Drosophila melanogaster: one gene and its partners. The protein of the gene in region 2 interacts with the protein of the main gene of each other region in a pairwise test. Each region holds a gene or a part of one and is shown on either strand. Other genes may lie near its edges.

Region 1 (6,838 bases), 260 kb from region 2:
ACATTGTTGATGCACTTACAGGTTCGGATAAATAAGGCTTACAAAAGGAAACTTCCGCACCACCGTCCCGCGGTTTCGAATAAGACGCAACAATGCATCCTCCCAGCGAATCAATCGACCAAGCACAAGCCCCACTGGAATAGCCGGCAACCCAATAAGGAGAACGAGCGGATCTCCAGACTCCATTATGGACATGCCGTGCTCATGTCCGACAATCTACAGACAATTAATTCTCTTAGCATGACAACTGATTAAAAATGATAGGTTGTACCTGTAAAAATGTGACTGCTCCGTAAGTTACTGCTGTCCAGTAGAGGGAGCCCACGAAGAAACCAGCCGCCAGGAAGGGGCTCAGGCGCTTGATGAGGTTATCTATTGCCTCTAAAGCACCTCCAAGCTTGCCCATCTGCGGGAACACTATGATGTACTCCGTTTGGCACTGCGGACACGATACAGTGCGTAGAGCGTTACCCTTCTGGGTTTTTTCATCGATCCAGCGGTAGAGGCAGCTCTGGTGCACCCACTTGGTGGTGCCGCGGCACTGACAGGGCTTCACCCACGCCGCCAGACGGTTGTCCTCATCGGTGGCGAAGCAGATCCAGCAGCAGCGTTCCGGCTCCCCCCCATCGACGGCCACTTGGACGGCAGTGGAAGTGGAAGCGTCCGTGGCTTTGTTCGCTGAAGCAGGTGGAACGGTCAGCGTGGTGTGATCCTCCACGGCTGGTATTGCAGGCGTCGCACAGTCCACAGATGGCGCCGCACAGTCCACAGAGGGCGCTGCAGCTTTGTCGGCCATTTCGCTGAAAGTATAACACAATGTCCTATGTTTATCGATGCACAGAGGCCCAACCTTAAGGTCCTGCTTACTTTGCTCTCACTCGGCTTTGTTGTGCGGTGATTGGCCTTTTCGGTTAAAGGTTGTGGCTTTAATTCTGAGCGTTTCTCAACTTTACTCTTATTTTGGGTGGTTCAACGAAAATAAAACTAACTAAATAAACCCAATCTGATTTATTCTACCAGGGCACTTTCAATGATTTTTCGGACGGACCAGATCTCAGATTGTATTTTCCAGGTCGACGCTAACTTACCCTTGTGCTGGTCACACTTATATCGCAACATAAATATTTTTTTGGGATTTCGTCGTATTATTTTTAAGCCGTCGATTCCAGAAGGACAAGTTAGATACATTGTATAATTTTTAAAAACGATTGACCTACTTACGAAATATTCACACGTATTCGAATTCTACTACCTAGTCCACTACTGACTTAAAATATACATAATTTAAATTTGGAAAAACAACTTTTCTGAATTCTTCCGCCAATACAGAATAACACAAAAACGGAGGGAAATGAGAACAAATTATACTACACCTAAATAAGGGATTCTGCTTTTATGTTACAAGCCGGGTTGATCCCGCATATTCAATGTCGACTTTCGATGCTGGTTATTTATTTTTGGAAATACAAATGTTATAAAATTATAAAACTTTTCAAATATTTCAATTAATTAATTTTTCTTTACAATTTTTTCCCATTTTAATTGCATCCTCGAAATGTCGACTATGGGATGTATCGCGATGTATTTTCACGTTGTGACGAAGCGCACCCGGATATTGTGCGTAGGAGGCAAGCACTACAAAAGCACAAAAATCCAATTACCAGTTCAAAAGATATTCCCAAAACAAGATTTTTGAGAACTTGTCATAGTGATTTTTGTTTGAATAACTATTTTTTTATAATTTGCATAATCAAGACCATACGCTTATTTAAAATTATTTAGCATACAGCAATTTAAAGTTATAACAAAATAGCCCGATGATTTTGTGGCAAAGAACTTCATTGACTTTGAGCAACCAAAAAGACCAGCAACAAAGGATCCCTCTTCGGTATGCTTCATTAATGCATACATGCTATTCCAGTTCGTTATTCTCGTTTTGCCGCCTCAGGGTCGTGTCATGATCGTCCGCATCATCTTCCTCAAAGCCCGCCATAAGGCGATTGAATATGTCACCAAACATTCCGCCCAACCCGGGCGGGCCAGAATGAGCAGCCTCCGGATGCTCGTCGAAATACAGCACCCCAATCTTGGCTACGTACTTTAGAAAAGACGTGTCGCGCTTTAGGGATGGATCGTAAAGCTTGCGTAAGGCCCGAAACCCAGCCACACGCTTCGCGTCAATAAGACGGAATAGGAAGTACAAGAAGTTGACCAGCGGTTCCTTATAGGGGAACTCATGCTTAAGCAGCTTGGCGTGGTAGCGTGTGTACTCAGTGAACGTGTCCTCTGCAGTTTTCCGATCCTTAAGGGATAGCTGCTGCAGCACAGCTTGTACCAGAAACAAGTCCATCTCGCCCTGGAAGCCCCTGCTCTGGCTGATTTCAATTAGCACTCGCCCACATAGGCTGCCATCCTGGCAGAGTAGATAGTGGTGACGAGCCGACTCAATGTTGCCCTCGGTCCAAAACACGTGCGCAATTAACTTATGGAGCACTGGGTGGCCATACTGGCCATGCAAGGCCGTGCTCCACTTAATGGTCCGTTGCTAAAGGAAAAAAAATTTCATTGCCGGTATAAGTCGCGTTTAATAATGTCAAAGACTCACAATAAGGGTTTCGCGCTCTACAGTCGCGGAGTTAAGGCCGCGGATCAAAGCCCCTAGGCGTGGAACCCACAGGAAGTTGTCGGTATCTTCCGCCTGTGGTCCTCGCTTCTCTAACGTGTCCACCAGAAGGAGACATAGGTCCGCGGCGCTGCTTTCCTGTTCCTTGGCAATAAGCTGCTGTGCTCCATCAAAGAGCAGTTCCAGGCAGTCCTGATAGCGTTTCTGCGCCGTATACCTAAGGAATCGAATTTCTTATTGGATTGCATTTCCTTGCACGGATTATACAAATAGTCTACCGAAAATACAGCGTCCTATACATCATGTGCGCTTCATAGAATTCTCCTCCTGCCAGAGACTGGGACAACTTGGCAAGTACTCGGCTGACACCGCGCTGTCCAGTGGACACCGCACTGCCGCTGGCTATTGGACCTGTCTCGGCGGCAGACATTTGGTTATTTGCGGGGTTTATTCGTACGCTTTCAGCGACCTTCTCAATTATGTGGAAGCCAATTTTTATAATTTATTTTGTATTTACATATACCAGCTTCCCGATGACAAACTATCGGTGTCGATTGCCAACTATAACACTCTTTGCACAGGCGCCCAATGTCAAAACAAAAATTGAGGGTTTACACTTCTAACCAATCAATTGGTAATTTAAAATGCATTCGTAAAACACCTTTTATGGTTTTAATAGTTTTCTGCTTGCAATGTCCAATGTCCACAAATATTTTTATTTTCACATCTGAAAATTGGTTCTTCATAATTCAATTCGCTTGTTATTTTATACCATCTTATATGAATATTAAATCATCGTTATATGAATATTAAATTTCAAATAATAATATGTTTTGTAGCTAATGGACAGTAATAAGATAAGACATATCCAGTTTTCTGATAATTGTTTATTTGAGCTATTTCTTCTCTTCGTTAAATTATTAATTTAAATTATTAGCTAAATTCACCAATATCTCATAATTCACACAACTATTAAATGTAACGCTGCTGCTGTTGCGGCCTCGTGTGAACAGCCCTAATCGACGACTTTAATGGAATGACGGGGGAAGAACGGGAAGATAAAGCAGCTGAGAATTGCCAGGCATTGTGGAAATTTTTTAAACTTCCCAATCAAATGAATAGTGATCTGAAGGAGAGTGGTTCCGGAGCCAGAAAAGACGACGCCGCACCGGCAGCCGGCGATTTCGTCGCCGCTAGCGGATTCGCTCCCAATCGTTGGGTCAAACTGAACGTGGGTGGACAAATCTACGCCACTACCATCGACACTCTGGTGGGCAGAGAACCGGATTCAATGCTTGCTAGGATGTTCCTGCAAAATGGCAGCATGAAGCCCAGCGAGCGTGACGAGCAGGGAGCATACCTGATTGATCGAAGTCCTCGATATTTCGAGCCGATCATCAACTACCTCCGCCACGGACAATTCGTATGCGATTCGAACATCAGTGTGTTGGGTGTTTTGGAGGAGGCGCGGTTCTTCGGAATCTTTTCGCTTGTCACCCATTTGGAGGAACGCCTGGGACAGCAGGAGACGCCGCTGGGGGACAGACCATTGACGCGCAACGACGTCATCAAGGCCATCATTCAGACCTCCGTGATAACGGAGCTGCGCTTTCAAGGCGTTAATCTGTCTGGGGCCGATCTACGAAAGCTAGATTTTCGCAACATTAACTTCAAGGTGTGCGCAAACGAATTTCATTTCAATGCATACATTGTGTAATACAACATTTTAAGTCTTTCCAACGCCGTAACACGACTGCATTTTAATATTATTGTAGTTTGCTACGCAGTAAAGGAGATATTTTCGTCCGGAAAAAAATGGAAAATTATTGGTGGAGATCTATCAAGTTGAAGACAATAATTATACTAAAGACTATCCCTTTTCCTTCACAGTATGCCAACATGTCTCACTGCAATTTGTCCCACACCAATCTTAACTACTGCTGTCTTGAACGGGCGGATCTTCAGTACGCAAACTTGGAATGTGCCCAACTAGTGTCAGTGCGGGGACTTTGCGCCAATATGGTAAGCACAGGTTTAACAGAAAACGCTATTAAATAATCACATCATTTGTGAAACTAGTTGTAACAGATTTACGCCATCCAATTAGCTAAGAAAACTAATCTGCCTAATCTTTCAGGAAGGTGCAAACTTGCGTGGGTGTAATTTTGAAGACCCAACAGGAGTTCGAACTAATCTAGAGGGTGTTAACCTCAAAGGAGCATGTTTGGAAAGCAGCAACATGGCCGGTGTTAACTTACGTGTGGCAAATTTGAAGAACGCCAATATGAAGAACTGTAATTTGCGAGCTGCGGTGTTAGCAGGTGCCGACTTGGAAAAATGCAATCTTTCTGGCAGCGACTTGCAGGAGGCAAATTTGCGTGGGGCAAATTTAAAGGACGCGGAGCTTACCCTAATGGTGACCCCATTGCACATGTCACAGGCCATACGATGATATCTTGGTTGGCACCTATCACTAATATTACTGTTATTGACTGTACATACTTAAAAGTTTAATAGTAGGTTATAAAATAAACAGTATTAGGATTGAATTTCTAAAGTCGTGTGTATTATTCTTATTCCTTACTCGTAGAGTAAAAAAGTATACTAGATTCGTACTAGAAAAGTATGTAACAGGCAGATAGCAGCGTTTCCGACTATATAAGGGATATATATTATATATAATCCGGATCAATAGCCGAGTCTATCCGTCTGTCCGTATAAACGTCGTGATCTCAGGAACTATAAAATCTAGAGGTTGGGATTAAGCATACAGATTTTAGAGACGCGGCTCACGTTTGTTGACCCATGCTGCCATGCCCATTCTAATGCCCACAAACCGCACAAAACTGTGACGCCCACACTTTTAAAAAATGTGTTGATATTGTTTCATAATTTAATTAGTCTTGAAATTTTCTATCGATTTGCCAAGAAACTTTTTACCACACCCATTCTAACGCCCTAAAAACGCATTCCCACTGGCTGAGTAACGGGTATCTGATAGTCGGGGAACTTGACTATAGCGTTCCCTCTTGTTTTTTTTAATGAAATTTCGCGTTCGCATTCACACTAGCTGAGTAACGGGTATCTGATAGTCGGGGATTTCGACTATAGCATTCCATCTTGTTTTTTTTGTTTATTACATAGTCTTAGTCGCATCACTAAAGATTCTTTTATATTTTTATATAAAACATTCCTTAGGGACCTTGCAGAAGAGTTACATTTAGAAAATCCTAAGCCGGGGCAGGAGCCTGTGTTAATTATAGTTTATCCTTCGATTCCTTTATCTACAAGAAACATAAATAAAGAAAATAATATAAAATTTATCTATTTTTAGTTTTTAATACCTTATTCGCAGTGATCACAGCTTACAATTTTACCGAACTATCTGGGTGGTACTCGATGTTTATTAAAATAATATATAACAATTGAAGCGAAAAAAGATGATGGACTTGCATGTAGATCTAATGTATATTGTCGGTGGCGTGTATAAGCTCAGATGTATAACTTTTATTATATTTTTAGCTAGAACCATCGCAAGCAACTCTATACGAAATGTATCGATGTATCGCATCGGCGATGTTTTTTTACGTCACCAGAGAAACGTCAATTTTCAAACGTGGTTTGTTGGAAGCCAGCGGAGAACGGTAGACGTTGCTTGTGAACTGTGAACTGTGTAGCCGTAGCCTGAGCCGGTAAAAAATTGTGAGCAGAACTAAAACACAATTGGCGAGCGATTCGATGGAGGACCAAAGCAACGCAGCCCCCGCTGTCGCCGCGGAGAACGGCGGAAACACCGCGCAGGAGGTGTCTTCGACAAGTAAGTGGCCTGCCCTACTACCCCGCCCGCTCGCCGACGAAAATTGCGTGTAATTCTCGCGAGTGCTGGTGATTCCATAAATGTTTTGCGCCGCGCCGCGCCTTGCTCGCTGGGCATCCAAAGTGAATACCCATGTTCCAGAGGGGCAGGTGCCCGATTCAGCCATTTTCTAGGTGCCAGTGTAGAAGCGGAAGATTGTCGAATTCCGCCATATTTATTTCTAGGAGACCCTAGCTGTAAATAAGAGTTGCCGAAACGCCGAAGTTGCTTGTTGTTGACACTAATTACGTCATCTTTGCGCGCATTCTTCCCACAATTACAAAAAGTGAAATGAATCATTTTCGGTGCTCTTGGCCGATTTCGATTTCGAGATTCTGTGCTCGCAGTGTCAATTCACC
Region 2 (7,444 bases):
ATTCGATGGCCTCGAGACTTCCGCCAAGATCCTAGGCTCCAGCCTCAGTGAAAACTCCGTCAAGATAATCGAACACAAGTGGGTTGGCTTTGGCTTCTTAATGCTTATGCAGTTTTGTAACAGATGTCATTACGAATTTTCGTCCGAATTGAAAGTAATCACTTAGGCTGGCAACGGTTTATTCAATTTAAATATATCTGAGATTTAAGTTATGCGCAATGTGCAGAGGATCGCAAAAATGATCAAGGATCGGGAAATGTTACTCAAGCTTGCACACAAAGAAAAGTTTTATAACTTGTTGTGAATCGTCTCAAATATGTAATGCTACTAAAGGTCTACTAAGATCTAGATATTCATTTTGGGTTTCTTTCGCCTTCGAAAAAGAAAAACATATAGTGCGGGCATTTTTAATATTTCATATATTTACATATATTTATTTGCTATTTCAGATATGGCCAGCAGACGGGGAATCTGGCTAGTGGCACCTTTGACACGGTGGGCAACGTTTTCGTGGTCAGTCAGAACGTGAACTACATAACCCCGAAGGGCATTGCCAAGAAAATGGTCAAACGAACAGGAGAAGCTGTGGTCAGTGACTACAAGCGAGACTTACGCAAATCGGAATCTCATTATATTAATGCCGGATCTCTTTATCCGGATCTTCGAGCTTTGAAGGAATAGCGGGAAAACCAAAGGAATTTATCACATGTTATTATTATTATTATTATTATTATTATTATTATTATTATTATTATTATTATTATTATTATTATTATTATATTGAAATATTTATATGCCATTTATAGCTTCTAATTAAAAGAAAAAATATAAATAAATATTATGTTCAATAACACATAAAAAAGATATTTCGAAAGATTTTGCATCAAAACCTTATTTTAGTGTTCAAAAATGCTTTACTTTTGTATTTGTAGATAAACCGAAGCTAGAAAGTATTAAAAAGAAAAATGTTTAATTCACTTTGTATATTTGTATAACCTAAATTCTAGCTTCCTAGCACTCCAACCGCTAAGTATCGGGTATCTTTTGTTTTTAAATTAAAATGTCCTGATTTTTGATACACAACTCAGTCCTCTTTCACTAATTTAAAAGAATTAACAATTTTAGCAAGGAATTTAGTATGAACGTACCATGTAAATTGTGAACAAATGTTGATCTAAGTATCTTTAGATTGACGATCAATAAAAAGCCGTCTAATTTAGCGGCTTTAAATCCTCGTAAGTACTGTCATAGCTTCCGATCGCCTGAAGTTACAGACTTTTGAATCTTATATTGTTGAAAAGGTTATGTTATTTGCATTATTTCCTAACCATTTCCTAAGACTCTATATAGCTATCTTATTCCTTATTCTTTTTTCCTATCTTAAAAAGCACTCTGATCAAGCAAAAACTTTGCGGAACGAGTCAAATTTTATATAAACAAGTTAGGAATTTATATAACGAGCGATGAACCCCACATATATACTTTGGCGAAATATGGTAAAACTTCACGTTTTGTTTTATACACGAGATATAGAATGTGATATTCTATAGGTCCTAAGTGTCATATATCAAGGAGCCCATATATTTAGTTAGGGTTCAGCTCCCGAATCAGAACATAACATAACATGAATGACTATAACCCCTATTGTTGGTAAAACTTTCTCCTAGACTATATTTACATTTACCTTATTATAGTCCTTTTATCCTATTAATATTTATATTAGGAGAATATAGGAATATGTATACTCATATTATTGTCAAAATCATATGAATACATTTTTTTATATATATTTATTAAAAAGAATCCGTACATAATTATATTGTATCTTAGCATCACAGGGTGGAGATTTATTCTTAAGAATTACCAGTCGATATATAAAAAAAGTAAAGTAAATGAATACATTTGTTTTCAAACGTTAGCTCTCGTGCGAGTTCCATTCTGAAAATAGGAATGGGTGTTTAAATCCTCACATGATTAGTGAGAGGTTTGGTTTTATCATTTATATGTTAATTGCGCTGTTATGTTGCTATTGCTGCATTGTATGGATTCATCGCTTCTAAATAAATAAATTTAAAAAAAAGGAATGGGTGTAGCATACTTTCGGGACGCGCAATAAAAAATTATCTTGAAATTGGTTTGGTTTTAAACTCCGCCATATATCATTATATAATATTATATATTATTTGATCCCAAAGCTTCATAGATTGATCCATCAGCGTCTCGTTGATTTTTGTATGCAATACTTTACGTACTAATTCAAAAACCGAGAAAGTTGTTAATTATTTTGAAGGCTTTTCGCCGAACAACGTAACAAAAAACGTAAGAGCGTACAGAGAGACCTTGCCTGCGGACAGATAAAAATACCGCTCGTAGTCCGATTCGACCCACCTCAACTGATTCAGCTGGCCACACTCCGCCCCATTTTTATATCCACAAATTCCTACGCTCGGCAGTACGTTTTGAACTCGGCCAAAAGGAGGTGGCTAAGAGTTTAGCGCGGCACGCAAGCACATAATTCCCCGCTCGGACGTGATTTCGCCCCTTGGTACATGAATACATGTGAATGTGTACATATGTGCGCACGGGAAATAAGGCAGGAAAAGCCCAAAGCCACGGAGTTCGGATCCGAGAGTCTTGCGTTTTGTTTTGCGCAGCACTGCACCTGTGCAGTGTAAAATCGTGAATTCAGTCGAGGTGCAACTGCGGCGCTTGTGCGGTTGAGGGAGGAGAGTTGGCAGAAGTGTGTTTGTGTGTGTATGTGGGTGGGTAGTGCCTTTTATTTCCGATTTTGACGGGAGTCCAATCCACCAAGCTGAGTAGTTGCAATTACGGCGCGGCGGAAAACTGTTTTTCTCGCTCACAAATACATATGTACAACCTGTATAAACAACAACGACTGCCGTAAACAGCCAACTGCGAACGCAGCAACAACAACAGTTCTAACAACAGTACACAAGCAAACACGTTTCCCGTTTTATTTTCTGGCCCGCGTTTATTAGTGTGTGTGGGTGCGCCTCTGTGTGCGAGTGCGTATGTGTGCGTGTGTACGTGTTGCTCGCTCGAGTATAGAAATTTCTAATGATTTTTGGCCTGTTCCCGAAAAGCAGCTCCAAACAACAACAACAACAACTTTAGGACTCTGCAGTGGCTGTTCCAATTGACTCGCCATTCTTTTGAATTGTTTTTATATATGTAATTGAACGCCGAAAAACAACTGTGTAAAAAACAGCATCTGTGCCAGCAACGAACAGAGCTTCGAATTTTGTTGGTAAGTGTTTTCAGCTTCTGCACAATGAATAAAGTAAATAATAAGTGAATAAGTGATTTCAAAATCTGCATTTTGAAACCGTAAAAAGTGTAGAAAAGAAAAGTGTAAAAAGGTAGCCAATTGTCTTAGTAACGTGCTTATTTATGCAATTTGTAACTATTGGCTTGAAGTTTACATAAAAAAAGGTCCATTCGAAAAATGAAGACTAATATCTTTCCTATCTTTCCTAACGGATATCAAAAAGTAGGATTGGGTAAAACACATTTCTCTCGGAGATTTTTCTTCATTGAGCGGATCGCTTAGATCCATTCATCTGACGCAACAGTAGCAGCAAAATAACGTTGTGATGACCAGGACTAGGGATATGACCTCAAGCAGCATTCTGGGACCTGGATCATGTTGGTCAGGCGGAACTTGTAGATGGAGGCTCGTGTTCTGGAGTGAGGCTTGTGAGCTTGAGTTGTACATTCTTGCGATCCATCCACCGATCTGCTGGCTTTCGAATTTGATGTTCGACAAATGTGTCTCAAAAAAATTTCGACACCCTCGACATGCGTTTCTGTGTTGGCTTTGATAGGTTTTTTCCCCAAAACATTTTCACTTTGCATGCCAATTTTCTCACCGCTCAAACTTGCAGCACTCGGGCGCCTAGTCATTTATTTGATATCATCATTATCGTCATTGCCCGAGCTACAGGCTACAGGTTTTTAGCTAATAAGGTAATGGCAAAAAGACGGGGAAAAACGGCTGAATTATAATCGAAAGAAAAAATCCATCATTGGAAAGTTGGTTTAATTGCATTTGCGGAATGCAGCTGTCAGGGTTGCCTAGTTGTGCGACAGGGCGACGCATTTTTCGCCAGCCGCGCACTTGGCTAATATTTCAGGCTTCATGCTTCATTTGCGTTACGAGCGGACCAAGTCGACTTTCGGAGCAAACCCGGCGGCAAGGGCGTTGGACTAGATTGGATCGGGTGGATTGGATGATGAAGGTGATGGGACAGGAGAAAGGTATTTGAAAGGGCTGGAGTGGGTTACACACTCCCCGGCGATATGGAGTTCATCGTCTTCCGAACTTGAGTTTCAAAATCTAAAAAAAAAACATCTCTATGTATGTATGTATGTAAGTACTTGTGTCTCCCAAGTTCTGGTGCCTGGAAAATCGTCAAACAAATATATTTTCAAAACTTAAAAATTTTTTTTTTTTGGTTTTCGAAGGATAGCGTGCACTACCCACAAAAGGAGCAATAAATTCCTCCGGGTGACAGTGGTTGGCAATTTTTTGCAGCAATTGGCAGGGCGAGTGTGGGAGAGAGCGGTGCCGGTCGTTACACGTTACACACTTTTCCGGGGCACTTTCCCAAGCGAATATTATTTTTTCTGTGCCCTCACATGAAAATCAATTCATAATGGTGCAGGTGGGTGGCGGCTCTCATGCTTTTTTTATATTTTTCTCTATAGTGCGATTGAATGCGACAGAAAATAGTATGATCAAGAAATCATATTGTTTACACATCGGTTTTATAAATTTGGTAGTTTAATTTTTATTAGTCCAAACAAATATCGGATTATATTTTTGTTTCAAGTGTACTTTTCACTTCTTTGCACGGTGGGTATTTTCCTCATCATCTGTTTTTCGAAGAGCTTTTCCGCCGCTGCTGTTTTGTTTATGCTTTTCCCATCTCATTGTTTTTGCGCGCCTCGTGCGTCAATTTATGTGAGTTCAGTTTGCCTCAAAGACGGAAGCGGTCTTAATGGTACAAATAGGAGTAGCTGCGGCTCCAGCTAGGAAACCGGAGGAAAAGGGTGCCGTGGAAATTGGCGCCGCCGCAACTGCCCAAATGCCGCGGCTGCTCATAACTTGTTTGCCGAATAATTTCCAAAGTTGCAATTTTCATTTTATGGCCATTTGTCTTCGGTTGTTTTGTCTGCCGGTTGGGGCACATTCGAAGCCCGGTTTTGCTTTTTTTTTTTCGTGGCTCATTTTGTTTTGTAATCAGAATTACATAGAGGGAAACATTTCATTTTCATTTGCTAACTAAGTTGGTCTCTCTTTCGGACCGCTCTGTAATCGGGTAAATGAAATCCAGATCAGTGGCGAAATTACAAATTTGTTCCATTTTGTTCTAAACATACTCGCATTTCGTAAGTTAAAATTTTCATACATTAGTTTCAAAAGCTAGAAATATAATGAGAATCTTAGAAATAAAGCGATTGTCATGTAATTACATGATACTAGAGTACCTTATCCAAATCAGACTGACTTGTTTTAAGCCATCTTGTGCTTGACATACACATGCTCAACTCTTCCCTTTTGGGAGGTGCTATCTGGTATCCGATTTCGTAACCAATTCGGCCCGAGTCCGGCTCTTTCATAACAATAACCAAAAGCACTTGTCACTGCCATCTGCTGCCGGCAACTTCGCCGTGGCCACCCATATGGGCCCAGTTTGGGCTCGTCGCCTACCTGTTTCACCGGGCAGTGTGAGTGATACTTGTGCAATTATTGTACAAACTCATAGTGTCCACTCTTTCAAGCGAGTGTATGTGAGTAGAGTGGTAGAACCCCTGGACTCTCGGACAGGTTGTTCAGAAAAGCGAATGGTTTTGTTCCACGCCGAACGCCTCATGTCTTTCGTCGTCGACGGAAATCTGAAACAATGGAGGTAGAGAAGACGCTCTGAACGCATTGGTGGCACAGCCAGCTTATTAACTTACCTGTTATTTCAACCATTTCCATTTTCTCACGCACGCAGGCCTGGAAAATGGAAACTGCACTTGCCTGTGTCTGCATTGGGTGATTTTAGGCGCACTGAAAAAAATTGTTCTATGTCTGAATATTATCTGAAATACACTCTTAAAAATTTTGGATCACAAAGTCAATTTAATTGGTGGTTTTCGAATAATTTATTGTCCCTAACTTTCATTTTTTATATTATAAGCAATATGATTTTTTTCAGTGTTATTTAGCCGGGGGTTTTAAACTAGGCACCTGAAAACCTACTTAATTTTTGGGCGAAGTCTTTCCTATCAAATCCCAGTAAATTAATGGCGCCCGATGAGTATTTATTAGTTCGTATCCGTGAGCTAGCCGTATAATTAAAACACAACCGGATTGTTAAGTTGGGTCTACGTTGTCCGCTTATCATTAAAGAGCGATTAGTTTTCAAGTTCGTATTTTTAATTCGTTTTAAGGAGAAGATTTGTTTTGCTCTTATGGAGTTGAGTGGAGCTGTAAGTCTTGGAACTTGGAAATGGAATCAAAGTCTGATTTTGATGCCATCCGGATAATTTAATTGATTTTAAATGCCCACAACGGAGTGCAGTAATTGAAAACTATAATTGCATAACCATTCCTCATATAGGCGCCCCAATTCCCCAGGAATGAAAGTGAAACATGGACGCTTTAGTTCCAGTAGCCACCCACTCAAAGGATACTTTTCCATATATGTATATGTATATAGCCTATATAAATTTGTGCGAGAATTGTATATAACCATTTATGTACCAGCTTACATGGAATACTAACTGTTGACCTAGCTCCATGAGCACTGGCTGAATTCATTGCCACAGGCATTTGTTGTGTGTACAACGCACAGAAGTTGAAAGTTTGGGTCCGAATGCAAAAGCGAACTGCAAACTGGTTCTGTTAACTCAAATATTTTGTTTGAGAAATGTTATGTTCGAAAATAAAATACACGATGTATCTTCAGAGTTGGAATATTATGTTTTCGGATGCTGAAAGCCACCCTTATTTTCATTCAACCTATCCCAACCCCACCCCTGTTAGTCCCCAACAGCTCCTGTTAACTGTGCTATGGGGGTGGGAAAAAGCAGCTGTTCGCTGGTTTGGGGACGTCGCTCCCGAACCAAAAAACGAGTGCAATGGAGTTATGTGCTCTCTTCGGCCCGCACCCCTCACACCCTCACACCATAATACCCGCACGGACTGCCACTGCAATAGAGTCGACAGCTTGTGACCTATATAGAATCGGATTCGTCGGAATTACAGTTAGGTAGAGCCTAGCATATATGTGTCTTTGGGACCCATCAAATGACCTAAGTTTGCATGGAAATTGCCTTCAATGTTCCCTTTCCCGTTCCTGTGCTCCGAACTTCAGCTAGGAAGTCTGTCGGCTGGTGCTCTTATCAGTTGGCCCGAATGCCTTCTGCGCCG
Region 3 (8,952 bases), on a different chromosome or scaffold from region 2:
TAAATAAAAAGATTCGCTAGCATGGCTAAACTCACTCTGCTCAACCTTCGCCAAAAGCCATAAAGCAAACAAAGAAATGTTGAATTGGGATTAGCCACCTCCGCACAATAAATGATAGCGGATATGGAGAAGAAGCGGTTATTGTTGGCGCTGTTATTCAAATGTATCCGAATCATCACATCGGAGGTTGCGAACATTGAGACAATCAATGCTCAATTTTGGATGTTGATCGATACGCGATATTGATTTTGATGTGGTTTTAAGAGACAATCGGCCCTATCTGTGTATATCTGCGATGCGATTGTAAAAACCCTCGCGGATGAAAATGTGCATTCCATCAGGTATGATGAGGCGACCCAATGAACTGGTCAAATATTTGATGACATCTCACATAATTGGCTCTTACATAAATACTACCATAAACAGTCCACAATGCGGGTGTCTCAGCAGGAACCGGGGATTATGCAAAACCCCAACTGGCTACCGCCATAAAACCGCCTTAGTTTGTGCTCATTTGGATGGATATTTGTGCATATACGATCCGAATCATAATTTGGTTCGTCACTTTGGCGCCACTTTTGACGCGTGCTGATTGGACCTAGGGCACTGGAATTGAAATTGGTATCGGATTTGGCGATGGGGATGGGGCATTGGGTAACCGGTTAACCCCCAAGCGATGTAGTGGGTGAGACAATGGGTTGGCATTGTCATTGCCAAGCCAGTATCGTGAAATCTTTCACTTTCGATTTAGTTGTAAACGAAGTTCCCCTTATAAAATCGCTCGAACTGGATCATAAATCACGCTGGAAAACGTATGATAATGTGGCATCATTACGCTTCCCAGGCAGATCAATTTGTCATGGGAAGTCGTGGACTTGCTCCAGCTCTGATCCGGCATAATCCTATCAGAGTCGATCCGATCAGATCCGACCTGCGCTCATCCTATGGCACTGACGAAACCTCAACGCAATCATCGGAATTACCCAACCTTTTGACATTTGCAAGGCTTTCGAAGCGAAACGAAAGTAGCAGACGAACCATCCGTAATCCGTAAAATCTATGGCAGACATTTTTCAATTGCAATCCCAAATCCCAATTCTGTTATTATCCGCCGTTGACTGCCCATTTCCATTGATGGATGGTGATCGTTAGTCGACCATTTCTTGGCTGCTTGTGTGATCTTCAGGGTCATTTAGATTTAATAGATTTCTGTGGCCCGAGTCATTATGGCAGGCACCTTAACCGCAGTCGTCGACTCACATGTGGAACAATATCTGTTAGTGGTTAAATTGTTTTTGACCCTTTTCTTTTATTGTACGCGCTATAATGAGACCTCGTTGGGGGCTCATTATTGAATAGAGTAATTTAAAAAAATTATTTATCGAGCACTTCTGCTATTTACACAAAAACATATTTGCGGACTCTTGAAGGGGCCGCGTTTTTCAATCCGGTTGCGGCTCATAACACTTAAGAGCTAATTCGACCTCAGGCCATTAAACATTTCACAAATGTGCTGAAAATGCACAATTTTCGGTGGCGATAATAAAAGAGTATTTCAAATTTAAGAGGTGTTAATTTTTTCGAGCGAAGAAACTAATCTGTTTCAATGCCGGATTCGCTGCATTTTTACAAACTAGTATTTTAAGGTCGCACACGAAATGAAATTCCAAAATCTCGTCTGGTTCCACGTCGTACGTATCTATGTATATGCATATATCTCCCCCTTTTTGCTCCATCTTTCTTTTTTTTTCGGCAACTAAAACAAAGGCCCCATCCCACTGAGCCCCGGCCAGAGAGTAACTTATTTCCTTCCTAGTTTTTGTCGCTCAAAGCCATTAGGGAGTTTTAGCGAAGATTGGCAAAACAGTTGCCACCTTTCAGCGACTCAACGGTTGCTTCCCACAACTCCAAAACTCCAATTACCATGGCTGTGGAGCACTTTGAACTTTAATTTATCTGCTGGGTCGCCGATCTGGTGGCCGGTGGCGCCTCCCGCAGCGACACCAATGCGTATACGTAACGTATTAATTATGCGACCCAAGAGCTCACTTAAAAACAGCAACTGGCACTTTGGAGTCGTACGTTAATTAGCCAAATTAATCACAGACCCCAACGAAATGGGGCCAATCTTGTTGGCATCAATTCGAAGCATTACAAAATGAAAGTTGCGATGAGAACCAATCTCAATTAGAATTCAAATGAGATTTAAACAAGCCACCAGAGACAAATTCCACTGGCAACATGTGGTGCTTGGTTGCATGTTCGGACCAAGAGGCGTAGCAACAAGTTTTTAATGGAAAACCCATTTGTTGCCCCTTAACAACAAATGAACATGCCATTTGTGCATTAAGTGCCGGCCAAGGTGTCAAATGCGACAGTCAGTCGGTCGGTCAGTCCCTTTCGTTTTCAACGGCACTCGGGGGCAGGAAGTTTTGTGATTTAAATTTCCGCTTTTTTCGCAATTGATGTGACAACTATGTGGCTTGGCATGCTTGTTGGTTATAAATTATAATTATTAGTTTTATACTCACACATTAAATTGGTACGATCTACACGGCAGACACTGCTTCCAATAGTATATCATTATAAATGACTATTAGGCGTATAGTTACCATGTCTTACGAATCGGCTTTGATAATGCAATTTAGGATTAGTTCTTATACAAATAAATATACAAATCATAGTCTAAATTATTAAAAAAAAATTTTTTTGTCAGACTCTTAAAAACTTGTAGATTTCTTATATTCAAATTTGTTTTAAAAAAAATGTCCAAGCTACCTTACAACTAATCGAGATTTTCTTAATATAAAATGTAAAAAAAATTTTAGGGAAATGTATTTTGTTGTCCAAGCAGCCTAGTTATCTGACTTATAAAACCAGTTTAAAAGACACTGGAGAATACTGATATATGTATAAGACCTTTTTGGTAAAGTGGTCTTTGTCTTTGCTTAAAGTTATTTACATCTTCTTAAAGCACAAAGATGTAAAATTTTGTTAAAAAGACAAAATTATATGAGCACGTTTTCTGTAAGACTTTATTACAAATCTACAGGACAAACAAAGGCTTAAATATAATTTTGTAGTTTTTCACATTGTATTATGTGCAGAACACTAATAACCTGGATTGTACAAATAATAAAAACTGTTATTATAAATATATTATAATTAATTAATAACAGTGAACGATAAGTTTTCAAGCAATGCCCACTGTGGCAGTGCTGCGAAGCGCCGACTTAACAGCTGTTGCTGCAAAAGTATCCCAAAATGTACTAACGCTTGAAGCAACAGCGTATAGAAAACATGCCCGAGTAAGTTTTCGTTGTTTTTTATTGTTGTTGTGTTTGATTTGTTGTTGTGGCAGTCGCGCTTAGAATTAATATTGCCATTTAGTCTAGTTTAAGCCACTCCACAAAGCGGCGGTGCGCGGCGCTCAACGGAAAGCGGGAAGAAACTGGAATTTGTGGTATTGTGGGCGAACCGAGAAGCCACGAATCATACTTACAAAGTGTCTGGATTTTTCGCCAGCGAATCGGAGTTAAATGATCGAATAGCGGGTAAAATCGGACAGCGGACGCACACGATCCGATCCGCAGAGTCAGATTGGAGTGGAGAAGTGAAGCTAGTGCTACCTCAGAATCCCAGATACCAGCAGTCCCAGTCAAAAGATATTTTAAGCCAACATGCTGCCTCGGTTCCGTTCCTTTTACGGCAAACTGATCATCTTCATCCTAGTCGCCCTCTGCTTCATCCTCTACAGCAAGGTGCAGCAGAATGGTTCACCAGAGGAGCCACCTGTAGCGCCACTCGTCCGGGCGGCCGCTCTGCGAGGTCATGGGCGCGAGCGGTTCGAGGCGTATAGCGACAGTGAGAACGAGATAGCCCGACCCGCCACCCAGTCGCCGTACGAACAAATAATCCAACTGGATCTTCAGAAACAGAAGGTGGGACTCGGCGAACAGGGCGTGGCAGTGCATCTTTCCGGTGCCGCCAAGGAACGAGGCGATGAGATCTACAAGAAGATTGCCCTCAACGAGGAGCTAAGCGAGCAGTTGACCTACAACCGGAGTGTCGGTGACCACCGGAATCCCCTGTGCGCCAAACAGCGCTTTGATTCCGACTCCCTGCCCACCGCCAGTGTGGTCATCATCTTCTTCAACGAACCCTACTCCGTGCTGCTGAGGACCGTGCACAGCACTCTGAGCACCTGCAACGAGAAGGCCCTGAAGGAGATTATTCTGGTGGATGACGGTAGCGACAACGTGGAACTGGGCGCCAAGCTGGACTACTATGTTCGCACGCGGATTCCCTCGGGGAAGGTCACCATTCTGCGTCTCAAGAACCGGTGAGTTGAAGCTACAAGGTGTCTGACCTAAAAAAGTCGAGCTGCCGTTACTCTAACTAAGAACAAATGTATCTGAAATAGCTGTTTGCGCCAAAGACTTCAGAAAAAGATGTTCGGTTTTTCCCAATCTAGAATGGCAAAAATACGTGAGCTATATCCGCAAGATAAAAAGGAATTAAAAGGAATTCCAGTAAAATGGCCAAACTATAGAAATCCAATCTTGTTTATGTGATAAAGTTTTCATCCACTCCAGTACTTTAGAAACCCTCAAGAAATTATAGACTTGATTAGTGGCCAATATAGTAGTTATACTTGCTCATTCACTTTCAATGCGACTTTTGGCATATGCAAATACTAAGTGTTAAACTTAAAGCATGCTTTCGTGTTTTTGAGACACAATTCGAAGCATTTATTATATTTATTTATATATTTATTTATATTTATATATATTAAAAATCGAAATCAAGTGTATATACACGTTTCTTAATTATTGTTCATAAGTGCAACAATGCAAAAAAGGTGAAAATTTGACACCTAGATAATTTCCATTATTGCCTATGGGCTAGGAAAAGTTCAGTAATTTGGCTAATCGAAACGCTGACGACTTGGACTCATTTGAATAACTTGTTTGCCATGTCAGACGCGCATGGAGCATCTTCTTTTTGGCCAGAACCGACAAACGCTCAAAAAACCAAAAACTAAAAACCGAAAAACAAAATGAAGAGAAAACCAGTTCGTCAAGTTACGATTATGTGTGTTGGGCTTGACTTTTTGTAACTCCCAGACTCGGTTTCTGCGTGCATTACACTCGTCAGCCCGTGAGCTTTGCAGACTTTCGGATGACTTCACGCGGTGGATGCCATGTAGGTTGGTGTTAATCGTGCTTGGCAGACGATCGAAGGTTTTCGAATGACCCAATAAATTTGTTTTGTTTTGCCCTTCACATAGCATAAAGAAAGTTTTCGCCTGTCTCTTTGCAGATTGGGTTTGATTCGTGCCCGATTGGCCGGAGCGCGAATCGCCACGGGGGATGTGCTCATCTTCCTGGATGCCCATTGCGAGGGTAACATTGGCTGGTGCGAGCCACTCCTGCAGCGCATCAAGGAGTCGCGGACTAGCGTGCTGGTGCCCATTATCGATGTCATCGATGCCAACGACTTTCAGTACAGCACAAATGGCTACAAATCCTTCCAGGTCGGCGGATTCCAGTGGAATGGCCACTTTGACTGGATCAATCTGCCGGAGCGGGAGAAGCAGCGCCAGCGACGCGAATGCAAGCAGGAGCGGGAGATCTGTCCAGCATACAGTCCCACCATGGCCGGCGGACTGTTTGCCATAGATCGTCGCTACTTCTGGGAAGTGGGCAGCTACGACGAACAAATGGACGGTTGGGGTGGTGAGAACCTGGAGATGTCCTTTCGCATCTGGCAGTGCGGCGGCACCATCGAGACTATTCCCTGCTCCCGCGTTGGACACATATTCCGCGACTTCCATCCTTACAAGTAAGCGAAACGAACTATATACTTATAATTTATGATGAAGCTGACCTTCGAAGCGAACTATAGTAACTTTATTGTCATCTGCCATTATCTATTGCTGCATTATAATGAACTCATTTAAATTCTTTATAGATTCCCCAACGATCGCGATACACACGGTATTAATACTGCCCGCATGGCTCTGGTTTGGATGGATGAGTACATCAACATATTTTTCCTCAACCGGCCGGACCTAAAGTTCCACGCGGACATTGGAGATGTCACCCACCGAGTAATGCTGCGCAAAAAGCTCCGCTGCAAGAGCTTCGAGTGGTACCTCAAGAACATCTATCCGGAGAAGTTTGTGCCCACGAAGGACGTGCAGGGATGGGGTAAAGTGCACGCTGTGAATTCGAACATATGTCTGGACGATTTGCTGCAGAACAACGAAAAGCCCTATAACGCCGGCTTGTACCCATGCGGCAAGGTGTTGCAGAAGTCGCAGCTATTCTCCTTCACCAACACAAATGTCCTGCGCAACGAGCTAAGCTGTGCAACCGTGCAGCACAGCGAGTCCCCACCGTACCGGGTCGTGATGGTGCCCTGCATGGAGAATGATGAGTTCAACGAGCAGTGGCGATACGAGCACCAGCACATCATTCACAGCAACACGGGCATGTGCCTCGATCATCAGGGACTCAAAAGCCTGGACGACGCCCAGGTGGCGCCTTGCGATCCCCACAGCGAATCCCAACGATGGACCATTGAACACTGAGGAGATAGGGTGTAGCGGGGGAATGGGATGGGGACCAAAGCAACTGAGAGATACTGACTAACGCCGACTGAACGGAACTCGAATTCAAATTAGAACAACCCTTTGTAAATACCTAAATCGAATCCTAGAATTATATATTTTGTGTACACAAATCGTGTATATTAAGAAGAAACGGGGTAGCTAGTGCAAATCAAATCGAAAGGAATCAAATCAAAATAAGAAACCAGCAAATCAAACGCAAACGAGTCATTTGGAAAGCTAATAACAATTAACTGTGTGTTGTGTACTTTGTGTGTATAAATATAAATAGAGCAAGTTGTAAGAATAGAGTCGAACCATCCTATGTAAATGATATAGTCGCCATGTGATCGTGTAAGGATGTAAGGCAGGGTGTGGAACGATTGCATTCCATGGCCAGGGATTCAACAAGGAGCTCTCCTGCGTGAGAGCATCCAGCAATAACCAACTATGTAAACTGTAAACTAAAAGTGTTGTAAGCATTTATCTACATAACCATTTTGCCATTTGTTTTCATGAATAAAAAAAAACTTCCGACTGGAGGATGTACATCTTCAAACGAACCATTAGTAGCCTCTGCCTTGGGTCGAAGGTGTTGGGCCAACAAAATGTAACCAGTTAGTAGCAGTCAAGGCCGAGTTCAGCGTTAATATCGCAGTGGCCGCTTGTTGACCCAGCAGCTCTACTGGTCCACATTTACCCCCCAGCTGTGAAATTAAAGCCAACTCCATTAAAAAATGTCCATTGCATGTTTGTATATTTGTATTTATAGATATAAGTACATATTTCATATTCTCTTTTATTTTGTTTTGCTTTGTTGAAGTTGTTCAAATTTGCTGATTACGCTTGTGTTTTTTGTTTAATTTCTCTGGCGTGTTGGCATTAAAATACTTAAATTGGAGTAAAACAATTGTAAATTACCAGAATTATCTTTACTCTTTCCGCTGCTGACAACTATATTCTGCACTCTAGTCTATTCTTTTATGTTCTGCATTTGCAACTACTAGTGTGGAGTGAACTAAACTGACATATCCGTACTTACAAACCGAACGAACCGAACCAAATTCATCAACAATGGTTTTTTTGCTTGGTGCGTCTGTTTGTGTACTATGATAAAGCAGGTCTAGCATATGGTTTAGTTTATTCATTAACTCGTGACTGAACTCTTGGATAGTTTATTTAACGGCTGATGGAGTCGAGCTATAATTGTGGTGTAATAACATTTATTCGTTGACCGTGCTAAAAGCTCTAAGAGTGCGCAAACTTACAAGTAAACTCTTTCCGAAGGCTGCCTTCTGATCCTATATCCCATATAGTTAATATGTGTGTGCCTAACATTCCGTTACGCTAGAGGCTAGATGCTAGAGATGCTATATGCAATGGCAAACTATTTCATTTGCGGGGCTGATTGCATGAGAACTGCACTAGATTGCACAAAAATATGATTAGTTCTTTAATAACGTCAAGGTACGATTCAATTTGTCGGCGTTCCAATCGCGATCTCTACGGCTACTTAATTTTTCAATTGCATTGCACACTGCCTACAACTATGGATTTTCGATCTATTTTACAAATAAACTGACTGGGCTGCGGCTAACTTTCGTTTTCAATCGGGGACTCAACTACGTTACTCAATCAACCTCTAATTGAACCTCTAGTTATTTTGCGCTAGTTAAATGCGTTAATTTGATGGTGATTTTGCCGGTCATAATGCCACACTCGCTATGTACATTCATGTGATTAAATTAATTCTGAATTGTAATGCTCAACCGATTTGAATTTGAATTGCGGCGTCTACAAAATGCACACACATACATACTCAAACAAATGCCCCTGGTTGGGATTTAATACTCGGGATTCCCCCAGGGAGCATTCAATATTTAAATTAGTTCTGTCTCAGTTAGGTTTATCATTGGTAAATATGCAATTTATATTTATATTCATGAATATCCATGCAGTTGTAAGTATATATATCATAGTTGTATCTTGACCTTGGATTTTAAATTTTGGACGTATTTTCAAGTATATTTTGGTAGTTGCTTTTCGCTTTTACGCAAGTAGAAAAACAGTTCGAAAATATATACCTAATATATATATAATATAAGTGGTGTATATTTATGCTTGTATACACTGGATGAATGGTTGTAGATCTTCCAGTTGGGCTTGACCTTTGACACGTCCCCAACTGTTTTCTGTTGGATTTCAGTTTCAGTTTCGTTTTTGGGTTTTCTAAGTGTAAATCGCTCTTATTGTGTTTTAAATTGCAATTTATCTCAGACTCAGTTTTGGAGTGCTTTGGATGTTGGTTGGTTGGATGGATGGATGGATACGTTTACGGT
Region 4 (7,547 bases), on a different chromosome or scaffold from region 2:
CTCAAAAGCCAGCGCATTCTTCTACTAAGTCTTGAATGAATTTGGGAAAAGCCTATAATCTGTGAATATTCCTCGATCGGCGGACCCATGTATCTCGAAATAAAATACCACTAACTAATTTCGAGGAAAGTCTTTACCTTGAGGAAGGTCTTTGATTCCCAGTCTTGTACTTTGATTGGTTTATCAGCCTTTTATAGTAGTTAGTCCTGGAAGCTAAGGTTCTGGCCATTGGTTTATTCAATCTAAGTTAAAAGTTCACGGCCTCGCTCATGACTCATGAGTTATTGGAGGGGCTTATCTATGGGTGTCAATCTACAGCTGATAGGAGTTTTCAATGAGCCGATAAGGGGTTGTACTTTGTCATTTCGTGTTTTACGTAAAAATAAGTTAATCGGTGCCGTAATTCGTTTAAAGGAGCTCTAGTACGCTTTTTAATGGTTTGCTTACGCGACATTTTACCTACATTTTGCTTTTCCCTACATTTAATGTGGCATGAGGTCATTTGTGGCTATGGCGTGGGACGACCTTACAACTTTGCCCCAGAAACAGTTTTGTGGTATATCTGAACGCAACAGTTAGATGTAGACATTGCTGTAAGGCTCCTTGTTGGCATGCTTTTACGATGCTCCGGTCTATATTTTGCCCAATCTAATTGGGATTTACGGATTGCACTGGGAGTGCTAATAACGTTTAGTTAAACCGGTTATTGTATATATTGGGGCAAGTAAAAACGTAATGAATTGACCAACAAAAGGTATTTTCCCAGTACAAACCGCAATTTGAGATATTATTCCTAGTTCGGTTTCTGGGTTCAAATCAGCATACAGCACTAAAGTTATGCAGTCGCCTTAAGATATGAAAGAATAATGTATTTCCACTGGCAATTTCCCGATGACTATTGGCTTGGAAATTTTTTAAAGCTTGTGGCTAATCAAGTCACGGAGATGTCAACAATTGGCAGGAATTGCAAACCGGTTGTTCTACACTTGTTGATTTCGTTTTATAAACGGGGGGTGTGGTATATTAGATGTGCCAACTAAATGTGATGCATTTTGCTTGAGACCCGCCTGATTCGGCTACTTACAGATTATTATTTTCCAAAAACTGCTTCCAACTATACTGGTTCATGGTGCCGTAACTCAACAGCTACTGAAACCATCGCTTTGAAGCAACAAGTTGCCTTCGCGAAAGCTAAGTCGCAGGCAATAACGAATAGGCAGTCGAAACCCAAACCGAATATAAGAATTAGCGATTTTGTATTTGGTTGTTGCACATCGGGTGTAAAAATATGTACACTCTGCTGGAGGGAAACTTTCGTAGTTTCTTGCGAAAACTGAAGCCGGCCAACTAGTGGAAACGATGCCACGTAACTGGAAAAGCGTAGACGGCTATATGGGAATTACTCGGGTCTATGGTGAAAAGTGGCACTCACACATTGGCACATAAAAGTTTCCTCTGTTTTCCTTGTTTTCTTTGTTATGCCCACCTGAAGCTCTCCCAATATGAGCCGTCCAAAAAAGCTTGCTTTCCCGCCAGAAACAGAGTTTTAGCTTTATTTTAACATTAATCCTATCTGAAATATACTCATCCGTTCTTCAGTACTTTCCTCTAAGTTACGAGGCAACCAACAAATAATTGGAAGACATATCTGTGGTCTCGGCTTTTGTGCGACAACATGCCATTATGTAGGAGGGAGTGGGCCAATATGCGTGGCTTGATGAACGACGGCCTAGGACTAAGTATAATCTGTAACAAATAAATATTGAATATCCTCCACACAGGATATTTAGATCAGAATTTACATAGCATTTAAATTTCAACGTTTTACATACTCAGCCTAAAAGTTGGCTACACTGTGTACTTATACTGCTATTTTAGTTATAGTTTTAGTTAGATATATTTTTAATATTCAGAACGTCGTATGCGAGACCCAAGCCAGGAATAGGAACATTTAGTACCGAATTTACATATTATAAACAAATCATTATTGCTTCATTTAAGGCTCTATTAATGCGGTCCACCACAGAGTTTATCAAATGCCAAACACGAATAGACACAGCTGATACGGTGCTCCTTGCATTCGCTATATTTAATTGTATATAGTGAACTTTGTACCAGGCGTGTATTCAAAACAATCAGCCAAAGAGCAAAATGGTGGAGGTTTTTACGAAGAGATTACGAGAAATGAGAGAGTGTTGTAATAAGTAGTACTGCTGAAATGCATCTGCATACTGCGTAACCTATCATAGTTTCTGAAATGAATTTATCAAAAATGTAGAACTTAATTTGTGGGTTCTAAAGTGGGCCATGCACATAAATGGTGCAGGTGTTCTACGATGAGAATTACTAAAAACTTTTGTTTTTCATTTGGCGCTAATGCAAGCTACAAGTGCTCGAAATGCATAAATGAGCTTATAGCGTGTGCTCAGTAACGGGGCTTTTGGCTACCCGACTAGCCTCGAAACATAAACATTATGGGTCGCATTGCAGGTCTCTCTGGCTAGTGGCTGCGGAGCGGGTGCTCATATACCGCCAGTTTTGAATGCTCTCTGGGAGGCCTTTGTCTGTGCGTCGGCGTCGCAAACGAGATAAAGAAAAACCCGAGGCGCGCGACGAAACAACGAAAAAAGTGAATGCTGTCGCGCTAACTGTGCTCACAAGACTTCCAAACATCGAATTGGTCGGGTGTCCCCAACAGTCGCTCCGCAGCCCCTGACAGAAACAGAAACGAAAACCGAAAGTACCGCAATCCAAAATTACCAAAAGACCTGTCCAACCAGCGACTGTTTAACCAATCATATAACTGTAAAGTGGAAAAACGAGCAGAGCACGGTAAGTTGTGCGGAAGACTGCGTCTTCACTGGAAAAGTACCCCTTTTTTAACTACCTCGGAAAATCAAGTGCAAGGAAAATAATTACATAAAAATTCATGAGAAAAGCAGAGTGAGCCAGCATGCCACCAGCCCTTGCCCTTCCTGCGCACGTCCTCACATTCGCCAGCAATACATAACTAACCGTGTCCTTTTGTCCTTCTCGCCGACTCCAATCCAAGAACCAAGATGGCACTACGCGTGGCAGGACTCTTCCTGAAGAAGGAGCTGGTGGCTCCCGCAACACAGCAGCTGCGTCTGCTGCGTACTGGCAATACCACCCGCTCCCAGTTCTTGGCCAACTCCCCCAACACGGCTCTAGACAAGAGCATTCTGCAGAGGTACCGCAACCTGGAAACGCCGGCCAATCGAGTGCAGGCTACTTACTTATGGATCGACGGTACCGGCGAGAACATTCGCCTCAAGGATCGCGTTTTGGACAAAGTACCCAGCTCCGTGGAGGACTTGCCGGATTGGCAGTACGACGGCAGTTCCACCTACCAGGCCCATGGCGAGAACTCGGACACCACGCTCAAGCCACGCGCCATATATCGCGATCCCTTTAAGCCGGGAAAGAACGACGTAATTGTCCTGTGCGACACCTACAGCGCCGACGGCAAGCCGACGGCGTCCAACAAGCGTGCCGCGTTCCAGGCAGCCATTGACCTAATTAGCGATCAGGAGCCCTGGTTCGGCATTGAGCAAGAATACACTTTATTAGACGTGGACGGACGTCCCTTCGGCTGGCCGGAGAACGGTTTCCCAGCCCCACAAGGTCCTTACTACTGCGGCGTGGGAGCTGACCGTGTGTACGCTCGCGATCTTGTGGAGGCCCACGTCGTGGCCTGCCTGTATGCTGGGATCGACTTCGCCGGCACCAATGCCGAGGTAATGCCCGCGCAGTGGGAGTTCCAAATTGGTCCAGCCGGGATTAAGGCATGTGACGATTTATGGGTGTCGCGATATATTTTGCAGCGCATAGCTGAGGAGTATGGCGTAGTGGTCACCTTTGACCCCAAACCGATGGAGGGTCAGTGGAACGGAGCCGGCGCGCATACCAACTTTTCCACAAAGGAGATGCGTGCTGATGGCGGAATCAAGGCCATCGAGGAAGCTATCGAGAAGCTGAGCAAGCGCCACGAGCGGCACATCAAGGCATACGACCCCAAGGAAGGCAAAGACAATGAACGGCGCCTCGTGGGACGTCTTGAGACTTCTAGCATCGATAAGTTTTCTTGGGGCGTGGCCAACCGGGCCGTAAGTGTGCGAGTGCCGCGTGGCGTTGCGACGGCCGGCAAAGGATACCTCGAAGACCGGCGGCCAAGCTCCAACTGTGATCCCTACGCCGTGTGCAACGCCATTGTTCGCACCTGCCTGCTCAACGAGTAGGCTGTGAGCGGTGCAACAGATGTTTAATTTTTTGTACATTATGTTTTATGGAACTGTGAAGCGTATCCGATCATTTGGTTATATTTACATTGAACTGAAGCAAAATTTAGTTTGCTTGTGCAAAAAAGACAGGAGACCGAGGCACGAAAAGCGTGCGCTTAGAATTTAAGAACGTGGGTGGGTGGCAAGAAGAACTAAGCTAAAGCGAAATTTCCTTAAAGCGATGGGGCCTCATGAATACTTTGCCATATATCTCACAAACTACGTATATCTATCATTGCTTTAATCTAAATAATAAAAAACATTGTACTCTACGTTAATTTTTTGTACCTTTTAGATCAAACAAACATTTTGGGATCCGACGTTGAATTCGGTCAACGCCATTTTTTGCCCTTAACTTCTTGAACGCACTTTTTTAATAACTCCTAAGAGTTTCTAAATGTAAATTTAAGAAGGAAATATCACTGAAATCGGACGATATGCATATTAATCATTCATATCCATGAGCACGAATACACATATATGTGAAATATGTTTATAAAAACCAATTGTTGATTAGAAGTTGTTAAAAATAAAATACTAAGAAATTAATTTATGTATATATATTGGTACATATGTATCTCACTTTACGGATCTGTCGCTTCACTTTGTTCGGTAGCATTTTACATCATTTTACTATATGCTGTTATAATATAAATGTCTAAATACTAGCACTAGCAAAATTAAAAATTCCATTGAGATACATAAATACATTTTGAGTAAAAGCAGAACTGCGTACAAAGCAAAACACATTACTACAGACTATTTTATTTTCTCTTTTCTGGCGAGCTTTTGAACAACTGTTGTTGCAATGACTGTGAAAATCAAAGTTTTAAAATATAGAACAGCTTGCTTGTAAATAAGAGTGACATGAGGGCACAAAAACTAGCTAAGGCAAGACCTTGTTTTTAATGGAAAGTTTTCCACCACAAACAGCTGCCTGACACTGAAAGTATTCAAAGACTAAATCTTAGGGTTTCCGTTCAGAATATGTGTGTTTTTCGCTCAACTGACACACACCCTCGTATATATGTACATATATGTATGTTTGTATGCTTGGATGAAAGATATGGCTGCGAAGGAGACAATGCTTCCATATACTCGTATATTCCCAATGGCAATATACTGCGTCCAGCTGATAGGGCAGGGGTACTGCACTCTGGGATGGCAGGCAATTGCATTTCCCTGCAATCTTATATTGATTGAGTATAACCGCGAACTCAATCGCTTCAAAGGGGGGCTATTAAGTGTGGTTATTATACTTAAACTTACAAAATAAATCTTAAATTTGAATTAAATTAAAATAGCAGATACTGCAGTACTACTAAACTGATATTTAATATACATACATATGTATGTATCTAGTATGTCTTCGAGCATCTAAAATTGAGTGTGCTTTTTTTACTGCACTTTGCATGTCCGTTCTCGCAATTGTTGACATTCTGAGGTGCAGTTAGCGGTGTTTGTTTGGCTCTGCTGGGAGCGGATTACGGATTACGGGGTATGCAAATGTAATAAGGTTAAGAGGGAGAGATAAGGCCATCCAGTTTATACAAAACAGTGTTAAATACACAGAGATAGTTCGACCAAGCCAGCCAGCCGAAAGAGGCACGGAATCATCCGTAGTCAGACCATCTATAGCTTCGTTAACTCATCTTTAAATGTTCGAACGCATTCCTGTGCCCAATTCCAATTCGACTATCTAATATACCCGTTTTCCATTGCAGCATTTGTGGGCACAATGTAGATACTATAATATATTTTAAAATCACATAAACAATCGAATCAAGGCACTAGCCTGTTATGGCCACAGAACTCAATAGTTCCGCACCGTCGCCCAAAAACCAGATTATTAATTAATTGAAGCAGGTTCATTGGTATGCATGAAACACGTTCAAAGATGTCAACATCATACAATGCAGGCCTGAGGAGATCCAGTTATGCTGCCTGAGACCAGGCGATTTGCATAAAACGGAATGATAAGCTGGACACCTGATTTCGAAACTATTGATAACAAAATGATATTGATATATCACTGAATCAAGTGATCAAAATAATATATTTTTGCTCTAGATAAATGTAGGCAACGATCGACTGGATAGAAATATAAGCTTCACTTACTCTCCTCACCTTCCTATAAAATCTTCAGTTCGTCAGTTCACTCGGTTAAAGTCCAAGCAAACTGATAAGACAGTAAGGCCACGAAGTTAATCTTCCGGCTGCAAAAGCCTGTCCAGCGTTTACCATTATCTTTTGTACCGTGCCTTTTACTTCTGACTCGGTCAGAAAAATACCTCCGCCTGGGTAGGGTTATCAAAGGGCAATAAATCATACTGGCTGCGGTTGCGAAAATAAAATAATGTTGAACCATAATTGATCAAATCAATTCCATATAAAGAGATGAAATAATTTTACCCAGACCCCTGCGAATTTTATTTAAATTACCTTAAAGTTGGGCACGATTGTGGAGCGTGATTCCTGAACGGCCTGTCACAGTAAACTCATCTACTGATCGACTCTTGTCTGGCCAATTGCAAATTACCATTTTCAGAGCCTTTAACTGGGTCAAGACATTCGCTCGCCTTGCAATGGGAGTGGTCGGAAAAAGCACTGATAACAGCGGATTTACGGACTCAATGCAGTACGTAATGTGACAAGCGGCAATAAACGGGTAACAAAACAGAGCGAATCTGTTGTGGAGCTGCTGGTGAAATAATCGTTGCTGGGGGTGCTGTTTATTTTTATGTGATGTTTCTTTTGGAGCGCACCAACTGCTTGTTGAGATTATGTTTTATAGCGCTACTTTCAGTCCGCGCAATCGTAAATGATTGCTCGATCAAAATATGTGGTCGCACTCTGGAGAATTATAAAACCTGTCAGGTACAAGCAGATACATAATATATATAATATAATCCTATAATTCTATGTCCTGTGACCGATGTCCAGCAATTAATCGGTCACGTAGCGTCATTTTGGAATGAAAAGAAAAAGAAAAGATTTGCGGCCGCAAATAGTTTACTACGCAACCGATTTTTCCATTTTATCTATGGCGGGTGTCGATACGGTGGGGTTCTTGCGCAAACACAGGCAGCCAACAAGTGCTGTCTTTTATCTGGCCTATTTATCTAATTTCCCACTGCTCACGCCATTCGCAATGTTGTGGTCGTGATGAGCGCCTATATTTAATTTGCAGAGCATATAGATGTCTGGAACTGAATCACCCAACAGCAGGGTCGGACTGCGTGTTCT

What was found.
Region 1: the proteins of smash (region 2) and CG14647 interact in a two-hybrid assay, tested with the Drosophila melanogaster proteins (one large-scale study listed by BioGRID).
Region 3: the proteins of smash (region 2) and Pgant1 interact in a two-hybrid assay, tested with the Drosophila melanogaster proteins (one large-scale study listed by BioGRID).
Region 4: the proteins of smash (region 2) and Gs1 interact in a two-hybrid assay, tested with the Drosophila melanogaster proteins (one large-scale study listed by BioGRID).

The regions. Positions count from the first base shown.
Region 1 is NT_033777.3:4,396,841-4,403,678, forward strand, and holds CG14647 (uncharacterized protein), read left to right. Parts: upstream 1-3,669; 5' UTR 3,670-3,737; coding exon 3,738-4,298; intron 4,299-4,513; coding exon 4,514-4,645; intron 4,646-4,760; coding exon 4,761-5,075; 3' UTR 5,076-5,177; downstream 5,178-6,838. Other genes in the region: CG9855 (uncharacterized protein), read right to left, coding at 20-216, 272-796; CG9853 (uncharacterized protein), read right to left, coding at 1,913-2,545, 2,606-2,840, 2,902-3,053; lost, read left to right, coding at 6,362-6,440.
Region 2 is NT_033777.3:4,657,132-4,664,575, forward strand, and holds the start of smash (smallish), read left to right. Parts: upstream 1-2,447; 5' UTR 2,448-3,268; intron 3,269-3,395; exon of another isoform or gene 3,396-3,808; intron 3,809-7,444. Other genes in the region: spartin, read left to right, coding at 1-78, 450-681.
Region 3 is NT_033778.4:15,508,424-15,517,375, forward strand, and holds Pgant1 (polypeptide N-Acetylgalactosaminyltransferase 1), read left to right. Parts: upstream 1-3,286; 5' UTR 3,287-3,308; intron 3,309-3,388; exon of another isoform or gene 3,389-3,390; 5' UTR 3,391-3,680; coding exon 3,681-4,342; intron 4,343-5,143; exon of another isoform or gene 5,144-5,198; coding exon of another isoform or gene 5,199-5,209; intron 5,210-5,322; coding exon 5,323-5,844; intron 5,845-5,973; coding exon 5,974-6,595; 3' UTR 6,596-7,174; downstream 7,175-8,952. UniProt on the Drosophila melanogaster protein: Catalyzes the initial reaction in O-linked oligosaccharide biosynthesis, the transfer of an N-acetyl-D-galactosamine residue to a serine or threonine residue on the protein receptor.
Region 4 is NT_033779.5:129,424-136,970, forward strand, and holds Gs1 (glutamine synthetase 1), read left to right. Parts: upstream 1-2,653; 5' UTR 2,654-3,059; coding exon 3,060-4,259; 3' UTR 4,260-5,049; downstream 5,050-7,547. Other genes in the region: CG3164 (uncharacterized protein), read right to left, coding at 1,085-1,128.